2 linked regions of the Alligator mississippiensis genome follow. The protein of the gene in region 1 purifies or fractionates together with the protein of each later gene. This does not show direct contact. Links are inferred from orthologs where the notes say so. Each region holds a gene or a part of one and is shown in the gene's direction. Other genes may lie near its edges. The genes, in order: RNF13 and AP3D1.

Region 1 (11,057 bases):
TGGAGAGGGTCCAGAGGAGGGCCACTCGCTTGATTAGGGGGCAGCAGGGCAGACCGTATGAAGAGAGGCCTGAACCTGTTCAGCCTCCACAAAAGAAGGCTGAGAGGGGATCTGGTGGCTGCCTATAAACTTGTACAGGGGAACCAGCAGGCAATGGGAGTGTCCCTGTTCCCCTGAGCACTACCGGGGGTAACAAGGAACAATGGCCATAAGCTGACTGAGAGTAGATTCAGGCTAGCTATCAGGAGGCACTACTTCACTGTCAGGGTGGTTAGGAGCTGGAACCAACTTCCAAGGGAAGTGGTGCTTGCCCCTACCCTGGGGGTCTTCAAAGGAGGCTAGACAGCCACCTAGCTGGGGTCATTTGACCCCAGCATCCTTTCCTGCCCATGGCAGGGGGTTGGACTAGATAATCTGCTTAGGTCTCTTTCGACCCTACCAGCTATGAAACTATGAATCCCATGCACCAGCACAGGCTGGGGGCTGCCTGGCTAAGCAGCAGCTCTGCAGAAATGGCCTTGGGGGTTACAGTGAACATTAAGCTGAATATGGGCCAACAGTGTGCCCTTGCTGCCAGGAAGGCTAACAGCATACTTGGAGGCGTCAGTAGGTCTGTTGCCAGCAGGTCAAGGGAAGTGATTATTCCGCTCTATTCAGCACTGGTGAAGCCACATCTGGAGTACTGTGATCAGTTTTGGACCCCCACTACAGAAAGGATGTGGACAAATTGGAGAGAGTCCAGTGGAGGGCAACAAAAATGGCAAGGGGGCTGGGGCACATGACTTCTCAGAAGAGGCTGAGGGAACTGGGCTTGTTTAGTTTGGAGAAGAGAAGACTGAGAAGGGATTTAAGAGCAGCCTTCAACTGCCTGCGGGATCAAACAGGTTACAGCCTTGGGCCCCTGTGGGATCAAATAGGGCAGCTGATATCCAACACCCAAGAAAAGGCCAATCTCTTAAATGACTTTTGCATTGGTTTTTCACCCTCCCACAGGGATCACACTGTCAGAAAGGACACGGACCAGACTGGGAGTGGGTGGCAGGCTCAAAATTTAAGTGGATCGGGTAAAGGAAAACCTTGAGAATCTGGATATTCACAAGTCCGCGGACCCCGACGGAATGAACCTGAGAGTCTTGAAGGAGCTGGCAGACATCATTGCACCCCCTTTGGCAAAGATATTTGAAAATTCATGGTGCTCGGACGAGGTCCTGGAAGACTGGAAAAGAGCCAATATAGTCCCTATTTTCAAGGAAGGGAGGAGGGATGACCAGGGGAATTATAAACCAATCAGTCCATCCCTGGAAAAATCCTGGGGAAAATTGTCAAGGGATCCATCAACACCAGACTAGCAGAAGGCAAGCTTCTGAAGGCCAGCCAACATGGCTTTGTGACTGGCAGGTCTTGCCTGACCAAACTCATCTCCTTCTCTGACAAGGTGACATGAGCCCTGGACAAAGGAGATGATGTGGATGTCATATATCTGGATTTCAAGAAAGCCTTTGACCTAGTTCCCCATGATGTCCTCCTGGCTAAGCTGGGGAACTGTGGCCTTGATCATCTTATGGTCTGATGGCTAGGCAACTGGCTATAGGGTTGGACCCAAAGAGTACTAGTTGACAGGAGCAAATCAACGTGGCACAGGGTGACCAGTGGAGTCCCTCAGGGCTCGGTACTTGGGCCGGTACTCTTTATCATCTTCATTAATGATTTGGAGTCGGGAGTCAGATGTGAATTGGCCAAGTTTGTGGACGACACCAAATTATGGGGAAGGGTGGTCACACTGTAGGACATGCTGGGGATACAGGTTGACCTGGGGACACTCTCAAGGTGAGCTGACCAAAACTGGATGGCCTTCAATGTTGAGAAGTGTAAGGTGCTGCACCTTGGTAGGAAGAACCCTCTACACACTTACAAGCTCGGCAGTGCTACGCTCACTAGCGCCACGACCGAAAGAGACTTGGGGGTCCTGATTGACCACAAGATTAATACGAGTCACCAATGCAATGCTGTGGTTGGCAAAGCAAACCAAACTCTGGCGTGCATCTACCAATGCATCTCAAGCAAAACCAGGGATGTCATCCTCTTGCTTTACTTGGTCTTGGTGAGGCCACAGCTAGAGTACTGCATCCAGTTTTGGGCCCCCCACTTCAGGAGGGATGTGGAAAAGCTTGAGAGAGTCCAGAGGAGAGCCACTGGTATGATCCAAGGCCTGGAGGGCAGGACGTATAAGGAGAGGCTGAGGGATTTGGGACTTTTCAGTCTGGAAAAGAGAAGGCTCAGGGGGGACTTGGTAGCAGCCTACAATTATATGAGGGGTACATCAGGACCTGGGAGAGCAGCTGTTCGTCAGAGCTCCCCAAGGGATAACAAGGTCTAATGGCCATACACTCCAGGAAGGCTGATTTTTGACTAGACATAAGAAAAAATTCTTTACAGTGCGAGTGTCCAGGGTCTGAAACAGACTCCCCCCCCAGAGGTGGTGCAAGTACCTACTCTGGACTTTTTAAAAAAAAATCTGGATATTTTTCTTGCTGGGGTCACTTGATCCCAGCTGACTTCCTGCCTATTGTGGCGGGGCTGGACTCAATGATCTCACGAGGTCCCTTCCAGCCCCTAATGTCTATGAATCTATGAATGCATGAAGGGAGGTTTGAATGAGGATGGAGCTAGACTGTTCTCAGTGGTGGCAGATGACAGTACAAGGAGAAATGGTCTCAAGTTGCAGCAAGGGAAGTTTAGGTTAGATATTAGGAAGAATTTTCTTACTACGAGGGTAGTAAAACAATAGAACAGGTTACCCAGAGAGGTGGTGGAAGCTCTATTCTTGGATGTTTTCAAGTCCCAGCTGGGATGATCTAGTTGGGGATGGTTCTGCTTTGAGCAGGGAGTTGGACTAGATGATCTCCTGAGGTCCTTTCGAACCTTAATTTTCTATGATTACTAGGGGTGCTGCATATATCTATATCTATAGATCTGTACCTACAGATCTATATATATGCGGTAACCCTAGTAATCACCAGAATCATTTCAGCCTGGCCAACCTGTTTGCTTTGAACCATGTGACTATTTGAAAAAGCACAGGGGAATATAAAATAAGCATTGCAAAGAAAAAAAATCTAACTCAAATGGGGAATGGAAACAAACAGTGACCTACAAGAAGATGCACAAATGTTATTTACCTAAATGGAATATGGAATTTGTGGGAGCAGGTGACATGATTTTCTCAGTGGCCCATGAGTATGAAATTTACTGTGTCTGGAAAGCATGCAATTTACCATCATTTAAAATTTGTTAAAGGCCCTTTTCTAGCAGTTATTCAGTCACTCAGAAACTTTGCAGCTGGTTGAAGAAAGAAGGCAGACCTTTAGAGCATATAAACAAAAGCATATTCTAGCTGTATTAGATATTTATTACTTTTCAAAAAACAACCAAAACATAGGTTTATAAAATAAACCAAGACATGAAATCAGTTGTCTTATATATTCCAGGAAAACTTATTAGCACAAACTGTCTCCTCTTAATCTTTGGGAACAAAGCTATTTATACATCCTTCTCAGATGACCTTGCAAGGACTACAAACATGGCTGCTAGGAAGGATTTGATTTTCCAACAACTTGGCTGTCCTTAATTTCATACAGAGACTGGAAGGGAAATATTATGAACCAGCCTTGTCTCACTACTGAGGGGGAGATGGGACCCCTGCCTATGGAACTTCACCTTTGGGCTCTAAAACTAGAGTCAGCACTGAACTTCTGTACATATCTCAAGCGTGGGTTTCCTGAGCTCTTTTTTAATTCTCACTGATATATGTTGTTCTAGGAAAACCTTCCCAGTTTTAGGAAAACCACAAGCCTACAACATATGCCTTAAACAGTCAGTACAGTCCCTTACATCAGGGGGATGGCAAACGTACTCATAGGTTTCTGTTCTATGGTATATATTCCCATGTTTTCTTACATTTCCCTTTTCTGCTCAGAGGGAAGATATGCTTAAATGATAGTTAAGAAACCTAACGTTCTGGTTGTGGGAGGAAGTGCCAGCTTTTCATGCACAATCACAGGTCTTTAATCCTTATGTGCATTTGAGAATTTCTCTCTTGAAACCCTATAGAGAAGAGAGAGAACTTCTGTTATTAAGATCTTGCCTGGATTAACCTATTCTTAAAATGCTGTGAAGAACCCTCTCAGCCACCAGGTACTATGCCCCAAAACACCAAGAACCACTTAACTCACAACAGGTAAAGCAGAGGAATGAGGGCACTTGCAATGTCTTGCTGCTGCAAGAATGGGACATAGTTGTTAAAATACACTTGAGGTATCAGAGGAGGAGCACCAGGTCCCCTCCTACTATAGAGGAAGGCAAAATCCGCTTGACCATTCTCTCCAAAATAGAGTCTAAGAGAGAACTAAGTTATGCTAGGTAAGATAAAGGTAGTCTATCTAGTCCAGCCCCTTCCTCAAGGCAAGATCATCCCAACTAAATCATGGTAGCCAAGTGTCTGTCTAACTTGCTGTTTAAAACTTTCAAGCATGGAGATTTCAGTTTCTACAGGTAGTCTGTTGCAATGCTTGACCACCCTCATCATCAGAAAGTTCTCCAACCTAAATTTCCCCTGCTGCAGCTTGAGGTCACTGCTGCTAGTCCTGCACACCACAGCCACAGGGAAGAGCCCATCTCCATCCGCTTTGTAATTACAATTCAAGTATCTGAAGTTTGTTATCTTCCCTTTCAGTCTTCTCTTCTCCAGGCTAAATAATCTGTTTTTTCAGCCTTTGTTCATAAGTCTTGCCTCCCACGCCCCTAATGACTGTTCTCCAGTGGACTCTTTCCAAACAGTCCATGTGGTTCTGGAAGTGTGGGGCCCGAAACCAGAAACAGGACTCCAAGTGACGCCTCCCCAGTGCTGAACAGAGAGGAAGAATCAATTCCCTTGATTTGCAAGTGGCATTCCAGTTAATACCACCCACCGTGCTGCTTTTTTTTCTTTTGCAACAAGGCCACACTGTTGGCTCATATTTAGCAAATGAGTCACTGTAAACCCACAGATCCTTCTCTGCAGTACTGCAGAGTAGTCAGTTGCCCCCTGGCCTGTATTTGTGTGTGCCGTGCAGTGATTCCATCTAAAGTGCAGGACTTTGCTCTTATCCTTGTTAAATCTCATCTGATTGATTGCAGACCATAGGTGATAAGGCAGTGCTCTGCCCCGCCCCCCCCTTCTGTTGCCTAAGCAGAGAGCATGTTGTGGACGGTTTGTCTAGTCTATCCAGGTCATTCTAGATCACTGGTTCTCAGCCTTTTGACTCAAGGCACGCCTCATCAGCCATGAAGACCCCACTTCCTAATGGTTGTGAACTGAGCAGCACTGCTTCACAAACTGATGTATTACAGTGCTGAGCTCCTTGCAGAAGGGGCCAGGAACCGGGGGCTAGGGGAGCAGCTAGACAAGGAGAGCCTAAACCTACTCTGATCTGCTTATTCCTTCATGCCCTGCTTACCTCCCTATGCTTTGAGGCACCCTTCAGAGGATTTCACACACCCAGGGTGCCTCAGTGCCCTGGTTGAGAATTACATAATTCATCATGCTCAGCCTCTTGCTCTGTGCTGGGCATTACATAGACAAGAACCACCCCCACGTTTCTATGGCAGACTGTGCTGGGGAACCCAGAGGCTGATGGTACAAGCAGTCCTTGGACTTACGACACAACTGGTTCCTGAAAACTGCATCTTAAATCCAAACATTGTAACTCGGAACTGATTTTCCCATAGGAGCAATGTTATAAATGGGGGATTGGTTCCTGAACCAAGGCCCGATACCCTTTTTGCACCAAAAGTAACCCAGAATTTTGTACTCGACCAATTATAGATGAGTAATATAGGTACAATAATGCATTTATATTGTAAATAGCAATCATATTGATTTGCAAGGACTTCTTTGAGGTGACTGCTGGACTTTTTGAAGGGCTCTTGGCTGGAGTCTTCTCAGGTGTCTTGGCTGCAGGTTTTTCAGGAGCCTTGTCTGCTTTCTTAAAGAAAGCATCCAAGAAAGTTTGGACAGATGTTCTCCAGGGAGACTGGCGACACAGAGAACTTGTTCACTGGCGTGGCATCACATCAAGCGTTGTGAAGTTGAAACCCCGATGTCAGAAAGTCAAAACAGGGTGGAAAGTTATAAACGTCTCAAGTGCTGTTCATTGTAACTCGAAACGTCTGCCTGTACGGGTTCCTTTGAGAGTGAGGGGCTCCCAGGGGTGGCAATTACTCCTGCACGCCCTGCCTCCTGCCACCACAGAGGGGCGGGAGCGCGGGTGACGGAAGAACCCCACGGGTCTGGGCACAAGCCAGGTGACAGCACGGGCAACTCCCACCACGAGGCCTGCAGCTGCCCGCGGGGCGCGGAGGCGAGTCCCGCACGGCCAGCCCTGTGGAGCGGAAGCGGGGAGACACCACTCGGCACCACCGCCCCTCCCCCAGCGCGCAGCAACGCACGGCCGTACCGTCACAGACGGCGCCGAGCAACCGAACAAACGGCCGAGGGGAGCCGTTGGGCGGAGCCAGCCCCGGCCCCTCCCCTCAGCTCGCTCCGGCCCGGCCCGGCCCCTGCGGCGTCACGTGGGCGCGCTGGGCCGCCGAGTGACAGGCGCGGGGGGCGGTGGCCTCTCCGCTCAGCCTGCGCACGGCCGGGGCGGGGTTTGCGCAGCGCAGCGTAGCGCAGCTCAGCGGCCTGGCCGCTGTGGGCGCAGGGGCATGGAGTCGGCCTAGGCTGTGTCCTGCTCGTCCCCGCGCGAGCGACCAGGTAAGCGCTGCCTTCCCCCCGCCCTGCGCCCCCGTCTCGCACCGCGCGGACCGGGGGGCCCGGCCCGACTCGACTCCCCGCTCAAAGCAGAACCTGCTGCGGCTCCGCCCGGGCCCGGCGGCGGCGGCGGTGGTGTGTCGGGGCGCACGTCCGTGGCCTGCGCTTGGGGCCGCCTGTGCTGCCGGGCAGCGCGTACAGGCAGGGGCCGGGCTGGAGAGGGCGGCCGCAGGGACCGACCCCGCCGCGTTCCCTCTATGCGGTGCCTGCCTCTGCCCTTCGGGACCCTTCAGCTGCGTCTTCGTCCCCCGGCCGGGCCACTTTCCCCTCCACAGCTTTAAGTGGGGACCAGGAGTCACCTGGAAACTCCGTGTTTCCCAGGGTTTTCCTCCGGCTTGCCGGGGGCAGCTGTGTTGCAGAGCTGTTCGCTGTGTGGCCGGGCGAGTCTGAACTCTTGCAAATCGCCTGAAGTTGGGGACATTGGGGCAGGGCCGAATTGGTCGATTGCTGCAGGTGCCTTTGACAGGTTCATGTGATGCTGTCAGGGCAGCTAGGAGCTGGAACCAACTTTTAAGGAAAGTGGTGCTTGCCCCTACCCTGGGGGGGTCTCCAAAAAGAGGTGAGACAGCCACCTAGCTGGGGTCATTTGACCCCAGCATCCTTTCCTGCCCATGGCAGGGCATCAGACTAGATGATCTGATCAGGTGCTTTCTGATCCTACCAACTCTGAAACGATGATGTGTACATGTGCCGTCCTAGTTGGCGTCCTTTCCCACTGGAGGTCTGCGCTCACTTCTCTGCTAAAATGAGGTTCACAGGATTTGAAGGGAGGCTTCTTAGTGTGGCTGACATTTTAACAGAGGAACTGTTTCAGAGAGACCACCTTCCTTCACCCATAATCTAGCACCTTTTTACTCTCTTGAAGTGTCTGCAGACATTTCCACCCTGTTAACAACCCATCACTTTCCTGTAGCAATGGCAGCAACACAGGTTTCTGTCTTTTGTAAGCGCTGGTGTCAGAAGTTCCTTATGCAGTGCAGCCAAAACTGTCCATTTCATTTGCTCAGTCCCAGTGCAGACATCTTCCTCTCTCTTATATGTAGATCATGGTTATAAGCTCCATTTTTAGTAACCTGGTCTCTGCCTCAGACTTCTCAATTTTCAGTAGAAGCCATTTCTGAGAACAAGGTTTGAGGAAAAATAGGCTGCTTTTCTAAAGTTACAAACAATTTCTTGGAGGTAGCTCATTGTCACCAGGGGCATGGGCTTAACAGTTAGTGCTAAGGAGTTAGTGCTTTGAGTAAGGAGCCTCTTACAACATGCTCAAATGTGGCTGTTATAACAACTCACTGACAGCTCACTGTTTTGCCCGGGCTCACTGGAGCTTTGTCAGAAGCTTGCAGCTGCAATCTATCAACATTCCCCTTGCACTGAGTAAGTCCCGGTCCCAGGAAGTGCCTAATTGCCATCTCCTGTGGATGTACTCCCAGGGCCCATGCAGCCTCTTACTCTAGTAGGCATAAAATTAGTGTTGTGGACAGGACCTGTATATAGTAGTAGCAAGCAGCAACACTGCCCTTCCCTCTGGCCTCAGAAGGGATGCTGGGCTTAGAGCCACGCGACTGATATTAAAAAGTCTGTTTACTTTGTAGTCGTTTTTGAACAAAGCTTTATACCGTACCTCTAAATTGAGCGTGATGGAACGATTTTTCCGTTTTACAGTTGAGGTAACAGAGATTGTATACATTTACTTTTGATAGAACTGAAAATAGAACCCAGTCACTAATATTGTCGAATGGTTGTAAACACTGCAAGGCTGTTTCAGGTTGGACATAAGGAAGAATTTCTTTACTGTCCAAGCCCCCAAGGTCTGGAATAGCCTGCCATTGGAGGTGGTTCAAGCACTTACATTGAACACCTTCAAGCGTAAATTGGATGCTTATCTTGCTGGGATCCTATGACCCTAGCTGACTTCCTGCCCTTCGGGCGGGGGGCTGGACTCGATGATCTTCCAAGGTCCCTTCCAGCTAAGCTGTGTTTTCTGTAATGGCCCACAGTCCAGAGCCAGGAGCAGAACCCAGGAATCCTGTTTCACAAACTTCTGCTGGTGCTGTGGATCTTAATGCTCCAGCTCTGCAGATGATCCAGGGGGGTGAATATGTAGGAGACAAGACTGGAAGGACTTCCTGTGTCAGTAAGGCCAGGTCACTGCTGTAATAGGTAACCAACTAATATATTCCCTTTCATAAACTGAGCAATCTCCATCTTTGAGCTAGTTAGATTTTTGTCCTCACTGCTTCCACTGGAAGGCTGCTCCTGCTCTGCACTGCACTGATTAGAAACCTTTTAAATTCCAGGCTAAATTTATTCATGATACCCATTTGTTCATATTCCAGTATTGCTCTTTAGCTTAGAGTAGGGCTGTCAAACTTCTAAGTGTCTGGCAAGCCACACATTTCTCAGGCCTCACTAGCAGGGTCCGTGCCAGTGGGGGCCTTGGGCCCCAAAGATTGCGTGCCCTGTCCTCCGTCACTGGACCACGAGTACTTTTGCTGCTGCTTTCTGCATCCTACCCCCCCAAGCACATCTATTGTTGCACTGTCTTTAGAGTCTCCTTGCTTCACCATTTGCCTGGGTTTACCTCCTCATCCTGCTGTACCATCTGCTTGGGTGCCCCCTACACTGCACCATGCATCCCCTGCTGCTGTTCCTCATCCACCCTGCTACACTGTACACCCTGTGCCACTGATGCTAGACCCCACACCTCCACTGCACCTCATGCCCTGACTTGCCTTTGCTGTGAACTCTCCCAATGCACCATGACACTGGCACCTCAGGCTGCAGGATTTCCTGGCACAGAAGTCTGTGCCATCCTGTGCTACCCTGCCCCCTTGGGCAGGGGCAGGGAGAACATGGAGCCCCCAACTGGTGCTGCAACCAGAGCAGTGGGGAAGAATGGTGGCCAGATGGGAGCCCAAGGGGCCACAGTTTAAACCCTCATGGGCTGCATGTGGCCTGTGGGCTGCTAGGTGGGCAGCCCTGGCTTAAAGAGTTCTTTTCCCCCTCTGGTGTGTCCCTCCTTTTGCCCAGCTTTATTTGTGGAACATCATTGCATCTCCTTCAGCCTTCAGTTTTGTAGGCTAAACAAGACAAGCTGTTTTTAGCTTTCTTTTGCAAGATAGGTTCTCCATTCCCCAGGCCATATAGTAGCCTTGTTCTGTGCCAGTTCCGTTTGAGTTCATCTTTCTTAAATGTGGATGACTAGAACTGTATGTTATGTTTCAGATAAATTCTGACAGGACAATGGCATTAATACTTCCTTAGTTTTATTAGCAGTATTTTACCTGATAGATTCTGGGGTCACTTTTGCTATTGTTTCATGCAGCTTCACTTTGGTAGTCATAGTCATCCTGTGATGGCAGTGCACGTAGGTCTTTCTCCTCCTTAGTTCTCTAGCTGATGAGCTCCTAATTTATAGGAAAAACTGTTACGATTAGGATCTAACTGCAAAGGATGTAATTCTGCGTAATGGAACCACTGACTTTTCAATCTACTTTAAAAAAAATAAACCTAGGAAAATGCATTTAAAAATAACCTTAAAGAAAGATTAACATTACTAAATCTAACACTCAGAAGTTAGAAAATTCTAGAATTACTGTTTCGTGGTATGCTTTGTTTCGCCTCTTTGGTTATGTCCAGATGAGTGTGGCCATGTGGGACGTGGTGCCACAGACACGTCTGCGGTACTACTTACCGCATGTTCTGTTGTTCTCTGTGTTGCAAGAGAGCAGTGCAGAAGGTTTTTTTGACCCCTGAAAAACCTGCAGAGAAAAAAAGTGGAGCTGTGCATATGGCAACAGCGTGTGCTGCCCAAAGCTGGAGCCTGGTTGGCTGGAGCTGTGCTCCGCTGCCGGTCAGCCCCCATCCAGTAGGATCACCACTGCTGCAGCCCTGGGTGGCCTCCAGGACCCCACGTAAGTCTTCTGGGGCCAGCCCAGTGCTGGCCCCAGCCTCCCCTTCGCCACCTTGGGTAACTTGCTGCGCGCCAATGTGCACATGGCACAGGCATTCCCTGAGAACAACTAGCGGCAGCACAGGGTGTTCTGCTGCTAGTTGTCCCCGGGGACAAAATGTCCACGCGTGTCTGGACGCGGCCTTTAAGTTTATGCATTATGACTGTGTAATAAAAAATTGTGCCATATATATGAAGCATGTCACATCCAATTAATAGGATAGACAGTGATTGAAGGTAGGAATTCCAGGAATG
Region 2 (11,146 bases), on another chromosome or scaffold:
AAATTAAACTGCACCCTGGCACCCTTTTCCTTATGTAAATGATCCTTCCCCACCCAAGATAAGGGCTTGTATAGCTTTCTTCAAAAATTCAGCCTGCTCCAGTGAGTAATGGTTGAAGAAGTAGGCTGTCCGGAGGAACAAAATGCTTTCAACATGTTTGTTCCTTACTAATATGTACTGAGCCATATTCAGATCTCATTTACACTGGTGTAGGGTTGGAGTATCTTGGAGAGGTAAGTCTTTGCTTCTGTCCCCTTGATGATGAGAACCTATTGCACAGTCTCTTGCAGACCAGCAAATCTGTGTCTATTCCTGTACGACTCATAAAAATGGAGATGGGCTTAGCCATGCAACAACCCAAAGGGGTCAGTTCTTTCTCTGCTGTTAGGCACTGTGGCTCATGCACATCTGTCCCTTTGTGGTTCTACCTCGTGGTCTCCAGGCCTCAGTTTCCTCATGTGCAGGAGATGACTATTCCCCAGTTTATAGCAGAGTTAGATAAAACGAAAGTAGCTGATGGTAGTTGAGAGTTTGGGGGCAGCAGACCATAGGGATGCAGATATACCAGGGGTGGGCAAAATATGGCCCGGAGGCTGGATCCGGCCCACCGGGCCATTCTATCCGGCCCCAGGGGACCCTAAAAAATTTAGCAAATGTAATATTTATTTGCTCCTGGCTGCCTGTCAAAGATGACAGAAGTCTGGGGCAGCAGGACACAAAGGAAGCCGGCAGCAGGACCCAGCAGCAAGGCCCATCTAGCTCTGCCCCACAACCAGAAGCCCCTGCCTAGCGCAGGACTCTGGCCTGAGACTGTGGGGCTGTTCCTGCTTCCTTGTGCTGGAGAGGGAAATGTGGCCCTTGACACATTGCCAAAACTTGGCAAGTGGCCCTCCGCACAAAATAATTGCCCGCCCCTGAGATAGACCATTGCCAAGCAGCAGGCAAGTTCAGTATGACCTACATCACCCCAGGTCTCATGGCAAACAATTACCAAGCCATCTGTGTGAAGCAGAGAGACAAGGGGGGTTTACCTATCACCCCTGTCAGACAGACGTCACTCAGTCCAACCACAGGCAAATCCTCAGGAACAAAACGAAAGAAGTCTCAAAAGCTGGCCTACCTTCCATAGAGAATTGCTTTGCTCAAGGAGAGGCTCCGTCAGACAGCAGCCACTCAAAACAGCAGCAGTCCCACACCTGTCATGCCTTTCTTCAGGGGGACTCTGACTGACAGTTCCTGGGCCCAGCTGTAGGTCTGCTCTCCTCAGCCAAGCACTATTTCCTCTTTTAACCCTTCTATCCAAGCCTGACACCTGTGTAACAGCAGCATGTCTACCTGAGCCCTCAGGAGTTAATGAAACTCTCTTTGGTTAGTGCTAGGTTCCATCACCTCTTCTCTTCTAGTTTGCATATTGCGCTCCTCACTGTAATACCCGAGCACCTTCCAGTACTGGGTAAACTGTGAGACTAACATCTGCCACGTGTCAACTGCCTCAGAGAGTTGGACACTCACTGTTCCTAGAAGCAGCAGACTTTTAGAAATTAACCATGTCATGGTGATCATACAACACATTTTTCAATAGGGCCTATCAAAGGAATTAGGCACTGGACCAGCAAAGCACTTAAGGATGTGTGCATCTCTAAGCAGGGGAGCAATCCTATTGTCTGCCATGGGTCTGCTTGCATTGCCAAAGTTGCTCACATGTTTAAGTGGTTTGTTGGATGACAGCCCTAATGCAGCTTTTGTGGAAGATCACATTTTAACCTTCAATCCTAATATTGCTGCTTTCATGTTCTTTCTTGCACATCAGGTTACGTGGGGATATCAATTTACATAACTGATAAAGTCATCCGGTCCATTTTAAGCTAGACTGGAGAAAGGTCCAGATAGAAAAGTATAGAGAATCATTTTGAACTGGATGAACAGAGGGATTATATGGGACTATGGGTCAAAACATGGGGAAAACTATAGCAGAAGCTATATCTATTCCCCTCCCTTCCCCACTTCTAAATCAAAATAGCAACATTTGAAATATTGCAAACCAATCCAATTGAGACCTCATCAGCCTTTTCTTACGTGAATTTCTTATTTCTAATTTATCTGATCCTTTGTTTTAATAAATCATATATGAGTTATTTGCTCAAATCACTTAGTTAACTGAGTGGTAATGTCAGAGTGATGTTATATGTGTGATAGTCCAAGCAATATGCAAGAGGCCAGGATAATTTGCCTCTTGCCTTTAACTGAGCGTTATTTATTTATTTGTTAAAGACTGGTGTTTAATTTAAATTAAAGCTAAGATCCAATCTGATCTTCCAGGTGGAATTTTCATACTACATACACAATATAAGATACGGCCTTGAACCAAAAGATGGAGGCCATATGTTCCTGAACTTGGGGAAAAAACTGGATTGGGATCTAAATTCACTAACTCAGGCCCATCTCTATCAGAAAATTAATGATTTATAATTGTCATACTTTCGATGTTCCCATTATCCTGAGAAATAGAAAACCAGAACTCATTATGCATTTGGTATTTTTTTCCGTTGAGTTATAACTGCAAGACTCAGAGTCTTCCTACAAATGTTGAATTGCTCATACTGGAGCCTGTAACTGAAATATGAAGAGGATGGGACGGAGGTGGGAGGAGATACTGTACTGGCATTAATGCCTTGCATTTATCTCCAGAGAACGCTTGCTAAAAAGTTATGTCGGCAAAATCAGAAGGTGACATTATTTATAACGTAACATCGGTGCTAACATTAGATGGGTACAACGTGATCCAGAGCTGTGAAGGTGAAGGTCCTTGGATGTTGACAAATAACAATGATTACAGTTAGGATTAGGGTTTTAATTAAGGCTGTTCCCAAGCAGATTTTAAGCCCTCCAAAGTTTGGAGATGGAGGGCTCTAAGATTTTGGTTCTGGCTCAGATCTTTAGAATGGGCTGAAGCAAATAGGAAAGTCCATGGCCCAATTCTTACAGGAACCAAATCCCCTAGGTACTCAAAGTTTGGGGCGTTTGAAACCCAGATTGAGTTCTGCACCTAAATTGTGTAGTCTGCAGTTTATATGTTTAATTGTGATCTACACAACCAAAGAAACACTGGGTTCATTTTATCCCCAACATTGTTAAATATTAGGAATAGCAGGAACGGATTTTTGGGGCTGGTATCTTTCACTGGACCAGCTGCACGGTTAGCGCAGACTTAGAAACCCCTTTTAATGCAATGCATTCTTCTTCAGGTCACGTTCTTCAGGAATGTGAATTCTGACTTTCCTCAAGCAATGGTTCTCTGCATTTTCGAACTTGAGCCACCCCTCACTGGACTTGAAGCACCCCGCTATAACTTTTGTGAATTGAGTGAATTTAAAAAACTAATTTACAGATTACAGGGCTTACTTCCTTGCAGAGGGATCTGGCAGTGAGGATGGGTGGGGATCATCCAGGCAGCAACAAGCCTGAGCCTGTGCTTATCTACTTAATTATCTGCTTATCTCCTAACACCTCACTTATCTCCTCACACCTCACAGCACCCTTTAAAACATCTAGTAGCACCTGGTTGAGAAGCACCATCCTAGAGGATTCACTACAGATTCTCTGCCAACCAAGAGCCTTCACAATCCTCCAAGGCTTGTTTCTCACCCATTCAAATAAATATGAGTTTTTCTTTTGACTTGAAAGGGGGCAAGAGTAATCCTTTACTGGGAGAGGGGTTGTCAAATATACAGCCCATGGGACCGCAGGTCCATCTAACCCAGTCTCCTGTATCAACAGCAGCAAAGAAGAGATGCTGAAAGTGAAATGTAAACTCCATTGCTATACAGGAAATAAGCAGAATTCAACTCCCCATCTGACACCTCCAGGGAAGAAACCTGCTGGAGCTTTGTCCTTGCCTAACCTGCATATTCACAGAGCAACTTTTAAAAAAAGGGTCTTTGAAAGCCAGGGGAACCACACCACCCTTTACCCCCCCTGTGCAACATGAAGTTTCTTTTCTACCTGGGAGAACTTTTACCCTCTGCCTGATGAAGGATGTTTGGACCCGAAAGCTTGCAAAGAATTTTTTTTTGCTGCTATTTAGTTGGTCTAATAAAAGATATCACCTTTAGCCCAAGAGTTTTGTCTGCGTCTGACTACAGGTTTTTCCTATTGTTCCTCTCTCAGTTGCAGCTTCCAGCATTTAGAGTCTAGGAAGTTATGATTCAGAGGTCATACCCCCTCAATAGCAACTAATACCCCTTTCCTCCAAGAACGCACCCAAGTCCACGTAGAATCTGGCTCAATAGTCAACTTCCACCACATCTGGTGGCAATGGGTTCCCCCCTTTAATGACACGCTGGGTGGAAAAAATTCTGCCTTGTGTTTATTTTAAATGGACTGCTTCCTCTTCTGTGCTGTGATTCTTTGTTCTTGTCTTGGGAGAGAATCAATTTTAAATCCATATGAACTTTCTCTTCACTGTTATGTTTGCGCATTGATTATTCTTCTTTATTCAGCACTGGTAAGGCCATATCTGGAGTCCTGCACCCAGTTTTAGGCCCCCCACTGCAAAAAGGATGTGGACAAATTGGAGAGTCCAGTAGAGGGTAGCAAAAATGTTTTGGGGGCTGGGGCACATGACTTGTGAGCAGAGGCTGAGGGAACTGGGCTTATTTAGCCTGGAGAAGAGAAGACTGAGGGGGGATTTAATAGCAGCTTTCACCTCCCTGAAGGGGAGGTCCAACTTGGATGGAGCTGGACTGTTCTCAGTGGGGGCAGATGACCGAATAAGGAGCAATGGGCTCAAGTTGCAGCGAGGGAGATTTAGTTTGGATATTAGGAAAAACTCTCACCCTAGGAAAGTGAAACACCAAAGGGGGAGGTGGCAGAGTCTCCATCCTTGGAGATTTTGAAGACCCAGCTAGACAAAGCCTTGTCTGGGGTGATGCAGTTGGGACTGGTCCTGCTTTGGGCTGGGGGTTGGACTAGATGCGACCCCCTGACGTCTTTTTCTGCTCTTTTTCTGTGATTCCAGGTTGAGAAGCCAATGTTGCCCAAGCTTTTCCTCAGATGACCCCATTTATGACCCCCCTTACTCCCAACCCACAGCCCCATCTGCTGATGTTGCCACCGAATTCAGGGTTGTGAACCCCAGTTTGGGAACTTTTCTGGTTTCTTTTTAAGAATGTTTTCATATTCCAATCCAAATCAAGTCCAAATCCGTGAGGCAGTCCAGAGCCATAAGTGGCCCTACTACTAGCAAACATCCTCCACTCCCACCTGGGGCTTCATGTATTTCCAAAATCTTTTGGCGAGCGTCCTACATGCAGGCCCTAGCCTGGTGGTTCAGATGCCCCCAAGTTTCGCCTGCTCTCAGCCATATGGCCACAGGAGCAAGCAAAGAAGCCACTGTTGTAAGCCCCTCATGCCCCTTCCAGCGTCTCTTTTCCCAAGGGAACAGACCGAGCCCTGCCCTGCCTGTCTCTCCTCAGGAACCCCTGGGCAGCGCTCCTTTTCTGTGGGGCCCAGCCCCGTGCTGGGGAGGACGCGCTCCAGGCGCACGTCTGCACGGTGTCACTGCCCCGGGGTTGCAGCTTCGCGCCACAACCCTGGTGTCACGTGAGCAAACCCCCCCCCCCAGCCACGTAAGCCGGGGCGTTCCTCCAAGCGATCACGTGCCACCTCCCGCGGGCGCCGGCGGCCACGTGACATGGAAGCCAGATTCCCCAGGGGGCGGGGCTACGGGGCAGAGGGAACAGTGACGCCTGCCTTCGTGGAAAAGGGGCGGGGCTATAGGACGTAGGGGCGGGGCTAGAGGGCGCAGGGGATGGAGGCCGGCTAAAAGGCTGCCGGGGCAAGGGCGGAGTGGGTGTGGCTAGGGCTGAGGGGCGGGGCCGAGGCTTCAGCTGACCGGCCGCCATTTTGTTGGGCTTCGGAGGCCGAGCGGAGCCTGCAGCTAGACACCGCGCTTCCCGCCGCCGCCTCCTGCCTCTCCTCCGCCCCGCGGGCTCGGGCCGTCCGGCGGCGCCCGGGATGTGAGCGCCCCGCCCGCAGACACCCGGCAGCAGCAGCAGCAACCCCCGGCCGGGCCCGGCTCCGGCTCCCCCCGCCCGAGCGCAGGCCCCGGCGCCGCCGCGATGGCGTTGAAGATGGTGAAGGGCAGCATCGACCGCATGTTCGACAAGAACCTGCAGGACCTGGTGCGCGGCATCCGCAACCACAAGGAGGACGAGGTGAGCCGGGGCCGGGGCCGACTCCGGCCCCTCTGCAGCCCGTGTCTGGAGGCCTCAGCCCCCCCCTCCGGCGGGTGCGGGAAAGGGGATGTTGGCGGGGAAGATGCAGGCCGCGCTGGAAAGGAGGAAGGCAGCAGAAGGCCGTGGTGAGGGGGAGCCTCGTCCCCGGGAGACCCCCGGGACCGCGCGTGGGGGGCAGGTGGACGCCTGAGGGAAATGGGTTCAGGTGTAATTGAACTGCTTCCGTCGTATCCCCTCGCCGCGCTCCCCCGGGTCTCCGTCCGTCCGTCCGTCGGTTGATTTAAGGTGAAAAGGACTTGGATGTCACCACTCGATATTTTCTGGTCGATTATTGATGAGCCGTCTGGGGCGGGGGGGAGCCTGATGGAAAGCCAAGAACGAGGCACGGAGGACGGGCTTATCGGAGAAGAAAATGGTCCGGTCGAATTGTGGGGGTCGGGATGCGGAGGAAGCCGCTGGAGTCCAGACGTAGCTTTAGAAAGTTTCTTGTGAAGCGTTTCCCTGAGTGATGGCGCGTGAACGAGCGTCTAGCCGGGGAGCTCGGGATGTCCCGGAGCGGCGGGAGGAAGGCAGAAGTGTTTCGTTGTAACATCAGGATAGAATGAAATCTCAAGGTGGTCTCGGCTGTGGGAAAGCTGTCGCTTACACGCAGTCAAATCATAGGTTGTGTTCGTAAGTCGTATGTTTCGGTTGGGAAAACTACAGCTGGGTTGTGTAGGATATTGTTACCTCGCTGCCGCTGTCAGGATGAAAGGCGGTATACCTCTCCGTAAACGTTTGACTTTCAGATAGCTTCAGACTTGATTGTCACACGCTGATATGTTACAGTGTGTGACGGTGTCTACCGGAGGTGTCTACGTCTGAACATTTCCATTTCATAATGCAGTTTAAAGGCTGTTTGGTATTGAACTGATAGCGTAAGAAGATACAGCTGTTTTTTTGTGCAGAGCCCCTCACAGCAAAACAACCAGCAACCTCTTGGATTTAATGAAAGCAACAGCTTTCATTAAATCACGTCAAAAATATATTTAAAAGTATGTTATGTGAACACATACCTCCTTACTGTGCTGGTGCAGTTCATTATAGAAATTGTAGCAAATCAGGGTTGGAGGTCACAACCCCCTGCTCAAAGCAGGACCAGTCCCAACTACATCATCCCAGCCAGGGCTTTGTCAGTCTGGGCCTTAAAAACCTCCAGGGATGGAGATGCCACCACCTCTCTAGGTAACGTGTTCCAGTGTTTAATCATCTTCCTAGTGAGAAGCTTTTCCTAATATCCAACCTAAAACTCCCTTGCTGCAACTTAAGCCCCTTGCTCCTTGGTCTGTCATCTGTCACCACTGAAAACAGTCTAGCTCCAGTTCGTTGAGCCTTTGTTATTCCATTCAAAATTGAAGATATACAGCAGGTGCTTGTCTAATTCTGTGTGGATTTCAATGTCCTAGTGTATAGTTAGGCCCAGTAAGGTACTGAGCACTGTATACTATATATGCACTGTAAATTTTTCTCTTAGCTCTGGGGGGATAGTCTGAAAGCTCGTAGGATCCTGATGCTGCCCCTAGGCCAGTGATTCTCAACCAGGGTGTTGCAGATTCTGTGGTGCTGCATAATATTAAAACTGTTAAGCATGCAGACGCCTACATCTGATGCACCAGATAAACCCAGAGATTTCAGATAGGAATCCACAATGTCAGAAACATCCTCATCTGTTGTGGTCTTCTGAGTTCTTTGCAACAGAAGAATTGCTTCTTTTTTTCTGGACTCAAGAAACAAGTGAAAGTTAAGAGCTGGTATTTGCCAAGGGGAGCCTTTTTTTGTTTTTTAACATAAAAGTCAAAAAACACTGCCCAAGACTTTATGGCAGGACTGAGTATTGTTTTCAGTTCTGAAATAAATATTTGGCAAGTAACTCCTTTCACTGGCATCTGTGCGTTCAGTATAAAGCCACATATGTTGTGTGGATGCATGATCAGTTGAATTGTGTGTTTCTTAATGGTACTGTGTTTCTTTGTGTATCCTCCATAATATATGCTTCCTTTGGACACTGTTAAAGATGCTACATAATCATTCCGTAACTCTGGGCTGAACAGTGCAAAGCATTTTGTCTTCCTTCTCCCACTTCAGGTGATTTTAGAACAGTTTTACCCAAAGCTAAGTGGGGCTCAAATGCTAGGGACTGAAACAAAGTTTCACAACTGGCAGTGATATGAGTGATTTTCAGTATTTAGGTGACAATGCAATGTAATCTAAATTTAATAATAGTAGCCATGAAGGCTCTTCCTTTATTTATAAAGTTTTAGGAAGTATCCCTGAGACACTGATAAGTCTAGTGGTAAATCATAAGACTGTCTTGTCTCAAAACTCCTAGTCTAAAGGTCAGATTGAAGATTGAATCTCTCCAAAACACTGTCAGTCATTGTATTTGCTGTTTGATAACATTTAGCTTTATAAATAGAGGTAATTTCTTGGCCTTGTCTAGGATTTTTTCCATCTAACATTTTTCATTACTTGTCTTCTGACTGTTGCTGCTATTTAGGGGCAGAACTGGTAGGATATGTTAGCAAAAGTCTTTATGTAGAAAAAGTAAGGAAATATTTTAAAATGGCTTTTCCTTCTTTCTTTGTGCAGGTTTGTCTAAAGTCAGGCTGTCTGTACTAATCATAATGCATGGGACCATTAAACTTTCTTTACTAAAATACTGCTGGACAAAACTCCCTAGAAATGGAGTTCACTAGGTCTTGCTCTGCGGGGACTGAAGAGATTTCTTCATGGTTTTACATCATGCTTTTGCAAGACTAGAGCTTAGGCATCCAGATCTCTTGGAACATCATTGGGAGTTAATTGCCTGTATTAAACAAGCTTCAAAAATCTCAGTCATAACTTAAGCCCCTATTTGCACTGGGAGTAGTACTGTACCAGTGGCAACCATGAAAAGAGATGTTAGGCAGTGACCCCTTTAAAAAATGTCTAGCAAGTATGACTTCATCATTCAACATAAGAGATCTTTCTATCTGCTGTCCTGCTTGATAAAGCTGTTTTGTTTTTAGAAGCCAGTTTCATGGGTTTCCATACAGTATTTTGAACTAAGTATGCCCTGCTCGGTTATTTGGGCTTTACTTATCTCATTACTTTTCAGTGAGATGCAAAACTTAGGAGAACTGACATACTGGCTGTTCCCCTGAGCAGGCTTCTCACTGCTTTGAGCAGGAACATGAAAGTGCTTCTATTAGAATTGAAAGGCTTTCAGAGCTTAGATTCCCTCTGCCTTCATTGTGTAGCATTAATGACTGGCATCATGTTATTTTCCTCCAGTTCTGCCAAAGCAGGACCTGTGTAATAGCAAACTGTTACCAGCCAGCTACTTCCTAAAGTTGGAGTCATTTTATTTTAAATATGTAAGGAAAACTTTGGTGAAGTTTGCAAGAGAATGTTGTGGGGCTGGTTACATTTCCGCCTGTCTTCGTCTTTCCATGAATTAGCAACTTCTGTGCAGAGCGTACTGCGGATGTTAAATAAAAATATCTGAATGAAATGAAGGAATTGTCTTGGCTGTTATCTGAGTGCTTCGATATACTTTCTATAGCACAATCCTTTCTTTGTTAACTTCTATTATGTGCACTGATACTTACCTTCTAGAGAACGAGTTACCTTTAAGATCAATCTACTGAAATGCCAGGAAACCACATTTTTTTTTTTTTTCTTGTCAGGCTGCACAGCATCTTCTGGTTAAAATAAACCTCATTAGCTCCTTTCTTTGACTAGGGCAGCTCCGCATTTTGCAGGAGCTGTCATCTGCCATCACTCACACAGGCTAATTAAACTAGTATCTCTGTTCCCCTGACAAACACCAAGGATACGTTTTCACTGCAGGGTTAGCTTGGGAGATTGGCACTCACATCTGGGTGTGAGCAGCCCCACTGTAGTTGGGCTTGAGTTATTGTGTTCTCATTAATACCACATTCACCTGGTATTGCTAGTGCGTTTATGAGCACACTACATGGTGCTTTATCCTGCAAGAAACTGAGGTATTGATTATTTCCCAGTGAGAGCATCTGTCCTGGGCAGGGGGAGAAGTTGTGGGAAGGTTTGGGAGGGCTGTCGGCACTCCTGTGATAACCCTACATCCTAGTTACAAAGGGGGTGGCTCTCTCCTGAAATGCAAACAGTCCTTGAGTTCTAGGCTTTGTCCAAAGCCAAGCCAGGTAGCTTGGGCTTACAATACCACCAAATTCAGGTGTGTGGTTTTTGTATTTGAATAAGGGAGGGGGGCAGCACCCAAGTCATAGCCTGAGCTACCTCTGCAGTGAAGACATACCCCAAATCAATGGCTACTCTGGAGACTCTTGAGCAACTTATTGCAACAGCACGATTTTTCCCCCCTGTGCTGGGATGAGGTGGCATAAAGGTATTAGACACTTTGCTAGTTCAGCAGGTCAGCTTTACTTTTAAGGAATATATGCAGCTATGTTCTAATCCCTGCAGTTTTTCTGTTTTACCAGTACAGCATTTTAGGAAAAAGAAGACCTGCAAACAGGGAAGGCAAATAACCTGCCCTGTTCTGTCTTCACGTCCTTTCGGCCTCTCTTGGCTCATTTAGGAAACGTGTTCTTCAAGTAGAAGTTGTGGCTAGAATAAAACTTTGTGGTACTCTTTGCTAGGTAACCTTTATGGTATACAGAGTAAGTTCTCACAGTAGGTTTCTGTTTTGTGTGCACTTGCAGTACACCTGATTAACAGGAGACGTGGAATTGATCTGCGACAAAAACATACGATGCAAGTGTATCGTGTGCCTGTTCTGGGCCATCATAATAGGGACCTAATTATTCCAGACACGTGGTTCTGTATCTGGAGTCTGCTGAGCAGGAAGCCTTTTAAAAAACAATATTATTTAGCTCTTGCATAGATTTTTA

The links.
Region 2: the proteins of RNF13 (region 1) and AP3D1 purify together in Homo sapiens (affinity purification with mass spectrometry; 3 studies listed by BioGRID and IntAct, counting the BioPlex papers as one, with this or other methods). This does not show direct contact. The link is inferred for Alligator mississippiensis from reciprocal best matches to the Homo sapiens genes RNF13 and AP3D1.

The regions. Positions count from the first base shown.
Region 1 is NC_081830.1:61,457,223-61,468,279, forward strand, and holds the start of RNF13 (E3 ubiquitin-protein ligase RNF13), read left to right. Parts: upstream 1-6,662; 5' UTR 6,663-6,793; intron 6,794-11,057. UniProt on the Homo sapiens protein: E3 ubiquitin-protein ligase that regulates cell proliferation. Involved in apoptosis regulation. Mediates ER stress-induced activation of JNK signaling pathway and apoptosis by promoting ERN1 activation and splicing of XBP1 mRNA.
Region 2 is NC_081839.1:7,180,220-7,191,365, forward strand, and holds the start of AP3D1 (AP-3 complex subunit delta-1), read left to right. Parts: upstream 1-5,902; 5' UTR 5,903-6,119; coding exon 6,120-6,215; intron 6,216-11,146. UniProt on the Homo sapiens protein: Part of the AP-3 complex, an adaptor-related complex which is not clathrin-associated. The complex is associated with the Golgi region as well as more peripheral structures.